3 linked regions of the Saccharomyces cerevisiae S288C genome follow. The gene in region 3 interacts genetically with the main gene of each other region. Each region holds a gene or a part of one and is shown on either strand. Other genes may lie near its edges.

Region 1 (3,666 bases), on a different chromosome or scaffold from region 3:
TCAGCCGAAGGGGAATCCGATGGCAATGTTATCCTTAAGTGGATGGTACTTAACGGGAGCACCAAATATTTTGAAACCAAACAATAAAGAGGCATTCAACTGGGCCTTGAAGAGCAGCAAGTGTTCAGACGGTAAATTAGCCCGCACTGAATTTGCCTTAGGATTTTATTACGAAAAAGGTGTCGGTTGTGAAGTTGATTTGGATCTGGCCAAACAATATTATCAGAGGGCTGCAAGAATGGGATTCAGGAAGGCAGTTGATGCTCTTCGAAGTTTGACAAATTAACGAATTCGCATTTCTTTATTATGCCATAAATCAAATATTATTCAGGACATTAGTAAAATATTGTAACATTCTCCTCAAAAATGAGAGGAGAATAAAAATAACAAAAGCGAAGAAATGCGACGTCATTTACTCATTATTTTAAACTAAATAAAAAAAATATTGTAACTACTTATCGTTGTAATGATATCTTTTCTTCAAAAAAATATATAGTTGGTGATAAATATGACCTCTTTGAAAAAAAGAAAAGGAAATGAACTACTAGCTAGAAAGAAGAGAGAAAAAAAAAAAAACTAGATTATGCGTGTTGCAATTTTTGCTTTAGGCCGTGCGTGGTTTTGTGTAAGGTTTCATTATTCTTGATGGGAATCGATTGGCTTTCGGCGGGTTTAGTGGTGTGTCTAGTTGGAGCTGGAACGGTGATTGGATCTGGGATTTCCTTGCTTCCTACCAGATTGTAATCACCATCTTTTAGGTTTTGCTCCAGTTCACGCTGATGAGCTGCTAATTCTTCTTCAATATCAACTGTTCTTGGATCATATGTCTTGACATCTGGTTTACTGAAGTTTTCATGCCTGTTGTTGAAATCCTTCTCTGTTGGTATTTCCTGCTTCCCAGATTTTAAGGTGCCAATATTCTCATTCTGAGAAACTGGATATTCGGCTCGGTTATATTGAGAGGTAGAATAGCTGTCTTTGCCACTTTTGGAGGCTGACGTGTCGTTCATGTTGTCAAACTCAGAAGAGGAAAGGCCGCTCTTGTTACGTTGAGAAGTAGAAGATTTGTTTTCGTTACTGATAGAGGTTGAGTAGCTGCCTTCATCGGTTTGGGGTGGGATAATCTTGTCAATGTATGGTTCAGTCTTTTCAACCACCTTGTTGTAATTTTTGTGAAACCTATGAATAACTAGATCCTTCATCCTGTCGATAGCACGGTCAATTCTAGCCTGCTTTCTATCGTAGATTAAAGGCACAGTGTACAAAAAGATGGTGGTCATTATCAAAACAGTGTTCATAGAGAATATAGCAAATAGGCCGTGCAAGAAATAGAGGGAAACACCAATGGTAAAATTGTTTCTTGTTCTGTGTGCAAACACTAACTTTCTGATTCTGTCCTCTAACGCAGGCAGACGATCCAATTCGCGGTCGATATGAGGCTTTAAGACGCCAACAAGGTCCGGAGACTCTTGCATGCCAAACCTAGACACTACTCCTTTATCAAATAGCACCTTTGTAGAAAGCTCCACCGCAAAACTCGTGAACAACACCATGTATCCGATCTTAAGTAAAACAGAAATAACATTGACATTTCTGAGGATCAGCAAACTCACCAGAGTCGCAGCAAAGCTCGCACCCGACTTGCTAGGGTTAGTCCAGTATATCAATCCCGTCTTGTTCTGATGACCTGCTTCACCGGGAGCGTTAGCATTTCTACTGTTATTCAAATTCGCGTTCTTATTGGTAGTCGTATTCCTATTCATGTTGATGATAGTTTGTGGCAAGTTGAGACAAGCAATTGAACAAGTTATTACTACTATTGCTACATAATTGATCTGCTTTTCAATCCCTTTTATATATTTTTTTCATCAAAGTAGCAAGCTTTATCGTTTGAGGGTGGAAATAAGGGTGAACAATAAGGGGAGATTGCCTATGCGCCTAAACGTCACCGTCTAACCTTGTTCTCCTTTCAACAAAAACGCCTTGCGTTCTTATTGCTAGGCCACAATTACAAGCATCTCAAATGGGGCATTATCACACCGGTACCACCGACACATTCTGCTGCTACCCTTGTAGTTTAAGTTAACTTTGCGTCCACTTTTCGTAATTATTTTGCTCCCTGGCAGCACCGGGGGTAAAGATGTCTTTCTGGCTAATGCAGTCATCCTTACATTGTCGTTCGTACGGCAGTCCAGGATTTTTGACCATCTTTACGCAGCAATTCCCATATAACATTCCTTCTCTCCTTGTCAATTGACCCTGGGGAGCGTCTGACCAATAAGAAACCGATGAGTAAGCAATGAAGGTCTTTTTTTTGGCTACGAAAATTTCAGCAATTTTTTAAAGTGAAAAAGTAAAAAAATCAAACATAAAAAAAGAAAGAAAATGAAAAAGTAAAGGAACGCTTTATATAAACGAGGCTACTAACTATCTGTATTATTGCTACACATAGCCTGAATTCAAGGTCATTGGCAGATTGACGCTCGTGTTTGCATGGTACAGGGCTGTATTAGATTTTGAATATTCTGTTCTTCTCATCCCGTATTAATATCTAGAACAATAGAAAAAAAGAAAAGCGAAGAAAATCTAGATAAATTTGTAGTTGGTAAATACACACGTACTATGGGCCCTGAAACTCTACATATTGGTGGGAGAAAATCGAAATTGGCGGTAATACAATCCAACCATGTTTTAAAACTGATCGAAGAAAAGTATCCGGACTACGACTGCAAGGTTTTCACTTTGCAAACTCTTGGTGACCAGATTCAATTCAAACCTTTGTACTCATTTGGCGGTAAAGCTTTATGGACAAAGGAGTTGGAAGACCATCTTTACCATGACGATCCCTCAAAGAAGCTTGACTTGATCGTTCATTCTCTGAAGGACATGCCCACTTTACTACCAGAGGGTTTCGAGCTGGGGGGTATCACTAAGCGGGTCGATCCAACAGATTGTCTTGTCATGCCCTTTTACTCTGCTTATAAGTCTCTGGATGACCTTCCAGACGGGGGGATTGTGGGAACCTCATCCGTGAGAAGATCTGCTCAGCTAAAAAGAAAATACCCACATTTGAAATTTGAAAGTGTCAGAGGAAATATACAAACTAGATTACAAAAACTAGACGACCCAAAATCTCCGTACCAATGCATCATCTTGGCGTCTGCTGGGTTGATGCGTATGGGGTTGGAAAACAGAATTACGCAGCGATTCCATTCGGATACAATGTACCATGCAGTTGGACAAGGCGCCCTGGGTATAGAAATTAGAAAGGGTGACACCAAGATGATGAAGATTCTTGACGAAATTTGCGATCTAAATGCAACTATATGTTGCCTTTCGGAGCGTGCTTTGATGAGAACTTTAGAGGGGGGTTGTTCCGTTCCTATTGGTGTGGAATCTAAATACAATGAAGAGACTAAAAAATTACTATTAAAGGCCATTGTAGTTGACGTTGAAGGCACAGAAGCAGTAGAAGACGAAATTGAAATGCTAATAGAAAATGTTAAAGAAGATTCCATGGCGTGTGGTAAGATACTAGCTGAAAGAATGATTGCCGATGGCGCAAAGAAAATTCTGGATGAAATTAATTTAGACAGAATCAAATGAACACCATTAATTTGATCAGTCCAAAAACTCTATTATTACTAACTAAAGTTCCCTTTTTTT
Region 2 (3,580 bases), on a different chromosome or scaffold from region 3:
GGAATTTCAAATTTCTTCAAGGAAGTGGGAGGTGAAGTACTCTGAGCAACCACCTCCGAAAGTGGTCGCGGTGGTGATAAAAAGGGCATAATTTTCTCGGATCTTTCTTCAAATGTATCTTCACCAGTTAAACCGATGGCATTATGACCGAATTTCTTATTCAATAGGTTAACAATTTCAGGAACATTCTTTTTTTCGTTAACAAAGATAATGCATCTTTTCTCGAACCCTGGTTCCGTGTCATCATTTGAAATAGCATATAAAGTTTGTGCCAATGCTTTGATCTTGGATCCCTTGAAAGGACTTAAGGCAGAATTTATAACTTTAAAGTCCAAAGCGAATGGTAACTTATGCAGTCTGGGTGTCATTATAGGAACCACTGTAGGAAATAGTCTTTGCATTGTTTTATTAAACTCTTGAGGAATAGTAGCGGAACAGAAAATAAGGTGATTAATGTTAGGAATTCTCTTTATTGCGGAGTGCGTTTCTTCAAGCCATGACCTATCTAGAAGTGTGTCAGCTTCATCTAGTACTACGAAACCCACTTTGGACAAGACTTTATCAGGTCTAGTTATCATTCTTATGGAGAACAGGTTCAGTAGTTTTCCCGGAGTAGTGACTAAAATATCTATTCTATTTTTAATGTTCTCTAATAAATCACGATATGATGTGGCCTTGTCCCACTTGAAAGAGTTTAAGCCTAACAAGGTTTTCGTCTTGGAAACAGTTTCGTATACTTGGTCAACCAATTCATGCGTAGGCACCAGTATGATGGACCGAATCAGAACGTTTTTTCTTAATGTTTCCCATAATTCGGGAGTTTCCAACTCCTGTCTTTTCAAATAGTCTATTAAAGGTATCAAGTAGGCCATGGTCTTACCTGAACCTGTCTCAGCGGCAATCGCATGTATTTGTAACTTTGGATCCATTAAATTTTTGGATATTCTCTTAATGGCCACTGTTTGAATGGGACTCGGTATTATATTTTCACTGGTTTTTTTCCTACTATCTTGTAGCTTCAGGGACTCTTTGGAAATGATTTCTTTCACAGCGTCTCTGACAGGTGGAAGTATAAGCAATTGGTCGAAATTCGATATTTTTTGAATGAGTTTATTCGTACTGTCCATATTCATCTCGACGTCTTTTTTCAATCCACCATACTCTCCAAAGTTGAATGCTTGGTCAGGGTCATTCTTTTTGTTACCTTTTTTGCCTTTGGCCTTCTGTTTTCGGTTTTTATTACTACTGCCTGTAGGCACTGAAGCTAATGGAGAGTTTCCTTTATGCTTTGTTCTTGGGCCTCCCGCATAAGAACGCACTCCTATCTTGAGAAGCACGGGGAAAGACCACTGTGGTGAAATTACTGGCTTGAAAAAAAGCGACATTTGTCTTATTATACTTTAATCTGATCTGAAGAAGTATTTCTACTCATCACTAATATCTATTCCGCTATTATTATAGTTGTAATTTATGATTCCGTGGTAAGTGATTTGAACTTTTGCTTCCTTTCGAAAATTTCAAGAATATGGTTTGGTTGTGCTGTGCAAGAGCGGTTGTATTGCGAAATAGAACCCATCGAGAAAAGAAAATGAAAAAGACGGCATTAAAGACTAGCTCTGTTTTAAGACAAATATTTACAGGCCAGAGAATAAAGAGATACTCGTATGTATGAATTGTAGCCCCTTACACACATATGTATATATATCGATGTGAACATAGCATTTATTAACAGTTCTGCTCAGTACAAATGGTAGTAGTACTAGTGATGAGGTTACTCCGACACCGTTAACAGCGGTAGTAAAGAGAAGGCCGAGTAAACATAAGGTCGTTATGCTCTTAGGTTACTGTGGCAGCGGATACTATGGAATGCAATACAACCCACCACACAAGACGATTGAAGGTGAGATTCTCACCAAGCTCTTCGACGTAGGAGCCATTTCCGAAGAAAATTCATTGGCACCGAAGAAAAATTCCTTTATGGCAGCGGCAAGAACAGACAAGGGTGTACACGCTATGTTGAATCTACTGTCGCTAAAGATCACATTGCGAGAGGACACAGTAGCGAAGTTAAACGCCGCACTACCGCCCGAAATACGCGTGTGGGGTATCCAGCCTGTCAATAAAAAGTTTAATGCTAGATCCGCGTGCGATTCTCGATGGTACCAATACCTTATCCCAGAATTTATACTCATTGGTCCACCCCGGAGTTCTCTTTTGCATCGAAACGTGGGGGGATGCTACCGCGAAGACGGCTCGCAAGAGGTGTGGGATACGTTCCTGGAACAGACGCGTGGGAGATTTAGCGGGGATGAGCTGTGCCGTTTGCAGGACACTGCACAGAAACTAAGCGAGAGCGATCCTTTGGTACAAGACTACGTGGGGCTATTGAGCGGTACCCTTAGCGGCTACTGCTTGTCGCCCTCGAAGCTGGACGCGTTTGAGGCAGCCATGCAGGAGTACGTGGGAACGCATAATTTTCACAACTTTACCACAGGAAAGCTTTGGGGGGATCCTAGTGCTCAGCGCCATATCAAAAAGGTTGTAGTGTCGCAGGCCTCACCGGGATGGATATGTGTGCGGATCCACGGGCAGTCGTTTATGTTGCATCAGATTCGACGAATGGTAGCGCTTGCCGTACTTGCAGCCCGTTGCCAATTGCCGCCTAATATTGTACGTAACTATTTTAACGCCGGGCCTAGGAAATACATTCCGAGGGCGCCCGCACAAGGCCTATTATTAGAGGGACCTGTGTTTGACGGGTATAACACTAAGTTGCGCAATTTGCTGTATTGCGAAATCCGCCCGGACGATATCACTCTTGAGCGCATGTGCCGTTTCCGAGAACGCCAGATCTGTACTGCGATCGCACACGAGGAGACACAGCGTCACGTGTTTTGCCATTTTGTACGACAAATGAACCGCCTGGCCACGCCTCTAATCTAGCCGCCCAATGTCGCGGGTTGACCCGCGACATTGGGCGGGCAATACTCTCATCTTATTGGCTATTCAACTTAGACAAGCGCCAGTTGCGCGCACAAATTTGGTCATGACCGCTCCACCGGCATGCGTGTCGTCATCCCGCATCATTCGGGACATTTTGGCCTTTTCCGCAGTGCGTAGTTGACGTGGGGAGAAAGCTAGTGGGCTGTCGCATATGGTTGGTTTTAGGTGGCGAAAGTTTCGCCGCGATAGCAATCATGTCCTCGACCTTAATCTCAATGGAATGGGTCATGCTCGGTAAGTGAGTCTCGCTGTATATAAGTATATATGTAATCGCCTAGTTCGATAGATACAAGGAGGTCTTGAGTATGTAGATAAACGAAAAGAAGATAACAAAAGGAAAATCTCAGCCTCTCCCCTTCCTCTTAGACAATGTCGCAAAGAAAATTCGCCGGCTTGAGAGATAACTTCAATCTCTTGGGTGAAAAGAACAAAATATTGGTGGCTAATAGAGGAGAAATTCCAATCAGAATTTTTCGTACCGCTCATGAACTGTCTATGCAGACGGTAGCTATATATTCTCATGAAGATCGTCTTTCAACGCACAAACAAAAGGCTGACGAAGCATACGTCATAGGTG
Region 3 (4,299 bases):
CGGAAATTAAATCAAGAAATAAGAATACAGTAATAACAAGGCACGATCTACTAATTGCACACGAAATGAAACAAAGGGCGTCGCTAGAGAGGAGCAATTCGATTAGGAATCTTCAGTCACAAGGTAAAAGGAGATCAGATTCAAAAGAATCTCGAAAATTGTAAGAAACGACATAAAAGAAGGGTGAAAAGGAGGGCATGCACTGTCTCCATCATTTTTAAGATTATTGGGTCTCAAGGAAGGAGGATGTATAATAGGAAATATCAAAGTCAAGAATAATGTTTCAAAATGATTTGCATCAAGATCGTTCGATACGCATATATACAGTCATCCACACACTTAATTTTTTAGCACTGGCGATAAAAAATGATTTATGAATAAAACTTCATCAAACTATTATGAAAAATATGTATTTCTATATTCTATTTATTATTATTATTATTGTTAGTGTTTGTTTTTCTATAAAAATATCTATAAGATTAATCCATAATTCTTTTTCTATTTTTTAATGTTATTTATTCGATATGTTTTTCATGAATTTGGGCATATCTACCAGAAGGATCTTCAGCACAACCCCAGTCGGCCTTTGGAATCCATCTCATAACGGTGTCAGCCACGGTCTTTTGAGGGAACAAAGCATCGAATTTTAGTCTGTACCAGAAAGCCTCTTTTGTGGTTGGAATGTCACTACCCCATTCGGCCTTTGGACTGGCAAACATTTCATCTGAAATGACTGCTTCGGCGGTATCTTTTAATCCGTCGATCCAGGAGTAACCAACACCGTCGGAAAATTGTTCTTTTTGTCTCCATAAAATTTCTTCTGGTAAATATGGCTTAGCATCTGGTTCTCCTGTGGTGTCGAATGCCTTCCTTAGAATGTACTTTTCAATACGTCCTTCCTTTGGTTTAATCATCTTTTCATTTGGATCGATGTTCATACACAATTGCAAAAATTCTCTGTCTAAGAATGGAACACGAGCTTCTAGACCCCAAGCCATCGTAGACTTGTTAGCTCTCAAACAATCTGCCAAATGCAAGTTCTTGACACGTTGCACGGATTCAGTGTGAAATTCTGCCGCAGAAGGAGCTTGTGCGAAATATAGATAACCACCGAAGATTTCATCGGAACCTTCACCGGAAAGAACCATCTTGACCCCTTGGGCCTTAATCTTTCTGGATAGTAAGAACATTGGAGTGGAAGCTCTGATAGTGGTAACGTCGTAAGTTTCCAAATGGTAGATCACGTCGTCCAAAGCATCCAAACCTTCTTGTAATGTAAAGGTGTGTTCATGATGAATAGAGCCGATGAATTTGGCAACCTTTCTTGCGGCTTGCAAATCTGGAGCATTTGGTAAACCGATGGCAAAGGAATGGAGACTTGTCCAACCAGCAGTGTGTAGCTTACCGTCATCGTCGATACCTGCTAGATGTCTTGCCTTACTATCGTAAGTTGATGGTTCGACATCGTTAGTGGCCTTTGCAGTTTCACGGGCAGCAATGGAAGCGATTAAAGAGGAGTCCAAACCACCCGACAATAGAACACCGTATGGGACTTCGGCCATTAATCTCTTTCTAACGGCTTTTTCTAAGGAGTGTCTAATTGCCATGTAATCTATTGGGGTGGAAGGAATGCGTTTTTCGTCCAGCCAATCTGGTGTGAAGTAACGGGTGATCTTGTCAGTCTTAGAATCGTATACGTGGCCCGGTGGGAATGCAGTGATAGTGTCACAGTCGTCAGTCAAACATTTTAGTTCGGATGCAAAATAAACGGTCTTTGGAGAAGCGGAAGAGCGTCCCATATATAATGTCGTAATACCGATTGGGTCTCTGGCTGCCACAATACGATCTTGTTTAGCGTCGTAAAGAGTCCAAGCAAACATACCATCCAAGTACTTAGGAGCGTCGATATCGTGCTTTAAGTACATTGGGATGATAGGCTCACAGTCACTCAGTGTTCCAAACTCGTAGTCTGCGCATTCTTCTCTTAATTGAATGTGGTTGTAGATTTCACCGTTAACACATAGCATGTACTCTCCGTCTGAAGAAGTAATTGGTTGAGCACCGGATTCCACACCGACAATGGCTAGTCTTTCATGAACAAATATAGTGGAGTTCTTGATAGCATTACCGGACCAATCTGGACCACGGTGTCTGATTCTTTTTGATAGTTGTAGAGCCTTTGGCTTATATCTATGCACGTCTTCGTGCCTGAAAGCGGCGAAAATACCACACATCTTAAGTTACGTCCGATTTATATCCTTAGCGTAAAGCAAGTTATACTTTTTCTTATTTTATTATGTAAAGGTAAGAAGAGTATGCGATCAGGGTCCAAACAGAATCTGTCTCCTAGTGGCGTTCACTATAGGGTTATATATGCGTATCTATAAATGCGCATAAATTCAAGAACGAACTATTTGTCATCTCGAGTGGGCAGCAAATTTTCAGTTTACAGAATGAGTCAAATGTTACATGAGTTAAGGCTCTTTTCCTTGTGCTCTCTCTCTCTGTCTGAGCCTGCCAAATGATAACAGTCATAGGCCCTGTACCTAATTTGCCGTCCACGGCAGCAGTACTGCTGCCGTGTGATTGGTGGATAGATAGTGCCAGCGATAAGAAACGGTAGTTGATGCCCGAAGGTGCTTTCCAGCGCAGAAAGACAGACCCCAGGCGTATTTGCGCTCACGTTGCACGAACACGGGCGGCATTCGTGATGACAATAGATTTAATTTAGATATGCACTGGTTTCCACAGAGACCAATCGACAGTCTTCCATGCAAGGTCACTTATTGTTAACGGCAAGTTTCCCTGGATGTCCGCTTTAAAACTGTTTCGGCACGGTTTAAAGGACACAAGTTTTGACTAGTCTACAATTTAAGAACATATAAAAAGCTACTTGTGTACAGATGAGATGACTACTCCCAAGTCAAAAACAACAAAAGAATGAAAGAAAAAAGAATCAGAATTTTATAAAAGCGTCCTTGTCATTCTTAAGAATGTAACAAGATCAATGGGTTGCGCAGGAACCGCTATCTCCATTAAAACCTCAGATCGCTCCGAGAAGAATTGTTCGATTTGAAACGCAAATAATATCATCGTATTCTTTTAAAAACTTGGAAGGTCATTGGTTTCTTTAAATGAAACCTCCAAAGAAAATCTAACGCGTCTTGGTAAAATATATGTACCGAGTGTTTCGCTTTTTATACCTGTTAAATGAAAATCGAAAAAAAAGAAAAAGAAAAAAGTTTTTCAGCACTTCTCTACGGGTAATCCTCGTATTTGAAGGTTTAGGGCTATTCTTGAAATTTTTCACTAAAATTTTCCAACTGAGAAAAAAAAAAGTGTATTACGGTTTTGATGAGATGAGATGAGATGTAATTATCATCCTCTATTGCCATGAAGAGAGATCTATTAAAAAGAAACGTCAAAGAATATGGTATTGCTTATATCAGAAATTAAAGATATTGCCAAGAGGCTGACTGCTGCGGGTGACAGAAAGCAGTACAACTCCATTATCAAGTTAATCAATGAACTAGTGATTCCAGAAAATGTTACTCAATTGGAAGAAGATGAGACAGAAAAAAATTTGAGATTTCTGGTTATGTCGCTATTCCAGATATTTAGAAAGCTGTTTTCCCGCGGCGACTTGACCCTTCCTTCGTCCAAAAAGAGCACATTAGAGAAGGAACAGTTTGTTAATTGGTGTAGAAAGGTGTATGAAGCGTTCAAGACGAAGCTGTTAGCTATCATTTCGGACATACCTTTCGAAACATCACTTGGGTTAGATTCGCTTGATGTCTATCTTCAACTTGCAGAGCTGGAATCAACTCATTTTGCATCTGAAAAGGGCGCACCATTTTTCCCCAATAAAACATTCAGAAAGTTAATCATCGCCCTATGGTCCTCGAACATGGGTGAAATAGAGGATGTCAAAAGCTCGGGTGCGTCTGAAAATTTAATCATAGTAGAATTCACGGAAAAATATTATACGAAATTTGCAGATATTCAATACTACTTTCAATCAGAATTTAACCAACTATTAGAGGATCCAGCCTACCAGGACTTGCTTTTGAAAAACGTTGGTAAATGGTTAGCTTTAGTAAATCATGACAAACATTGCTCTAGTGTTGATGCAGATTTAGAGATCTTTGTACCAAATCCCCCACAAGCCATAGAGAACGAGTCCAAATTCAAGTCCAATTTCGAGAAAAATTGGTTATCCCTTTTAAACGGCCAATTGTCTTTACAGCAGTATAAGTCTATTCTGTTAATTTTGCATAAGAGAATAATACCTCATTTCCA

The links.
Region 1: mutations in ASN1 (region 3) and RTN2 together harm fitness more than expected from each alone (negative genetic interaction), as found in Saccharomyces cerevisiae (one large-scale study listed by BioGRID).
Region 2: mutations in ASN1 (region 3) and PUS2 together harm fitness more than expected from each alone (negative genetic interaction), as found in Saccharomyces cerevisiae (one large-scale study listed by BioGRID).

What each region holds. Positions count from the first base shown.
Region 1 is NC_001136.10:92,702-96,367, reverse strand, and holds RTN2 (Rtn2p), read right to left. Parts: upstream 1,764-3,666; coding exon 582-1,763; downstream 1-581. Other genes in the region: ACK1 (Ack1p), read left to right, coding at 1-286; YDL204W-A (uncharacterized protein), read right to left, coding at 2,083-2,235; HEM3 (hydroxymethylbilane synthase), read left to right, coding at 2,623-3,606.
Region 2 is NC_001139.9:381,824-385,403, forward strand, and holds PUS2 (pseudouridine synthase PUS2), read left to right. Parts: upstream 1-1,830; coding exon 1,831-2,943; downstream 2,944-3,580. Other genes in the region: MRH4 (ATP-dependent RNA helicase), read right to left, coding at 1-1,385; PYC1 (pyruvate carboxylase 1), read left to right, coding at 3,373-3,580. UniProt on the Saccharomyces cerevisiae protein: Mitochondrial-specific pseudouridine synthase catalyzing the formation of pseudouridine at positions 27 and 28 in the anticodon stem and loop of mitochondrial transfer RNAs.
Region 3 is NC_001148.4:820,555-824,853, reverse strand, and holds ASN1 (asparagine synthase (glutamine-hydrolyzing) 1), read right to left. Parts: upstream 2,235-4,299; coding exon 516-2,234; downstream 1-515. Other genes in the region: YPR145C-A (uncharacterized protein), read left to right, coding at 1-164; ribosome biosynthesis protein NOC4, read left to right, coding at 3,431-4,299.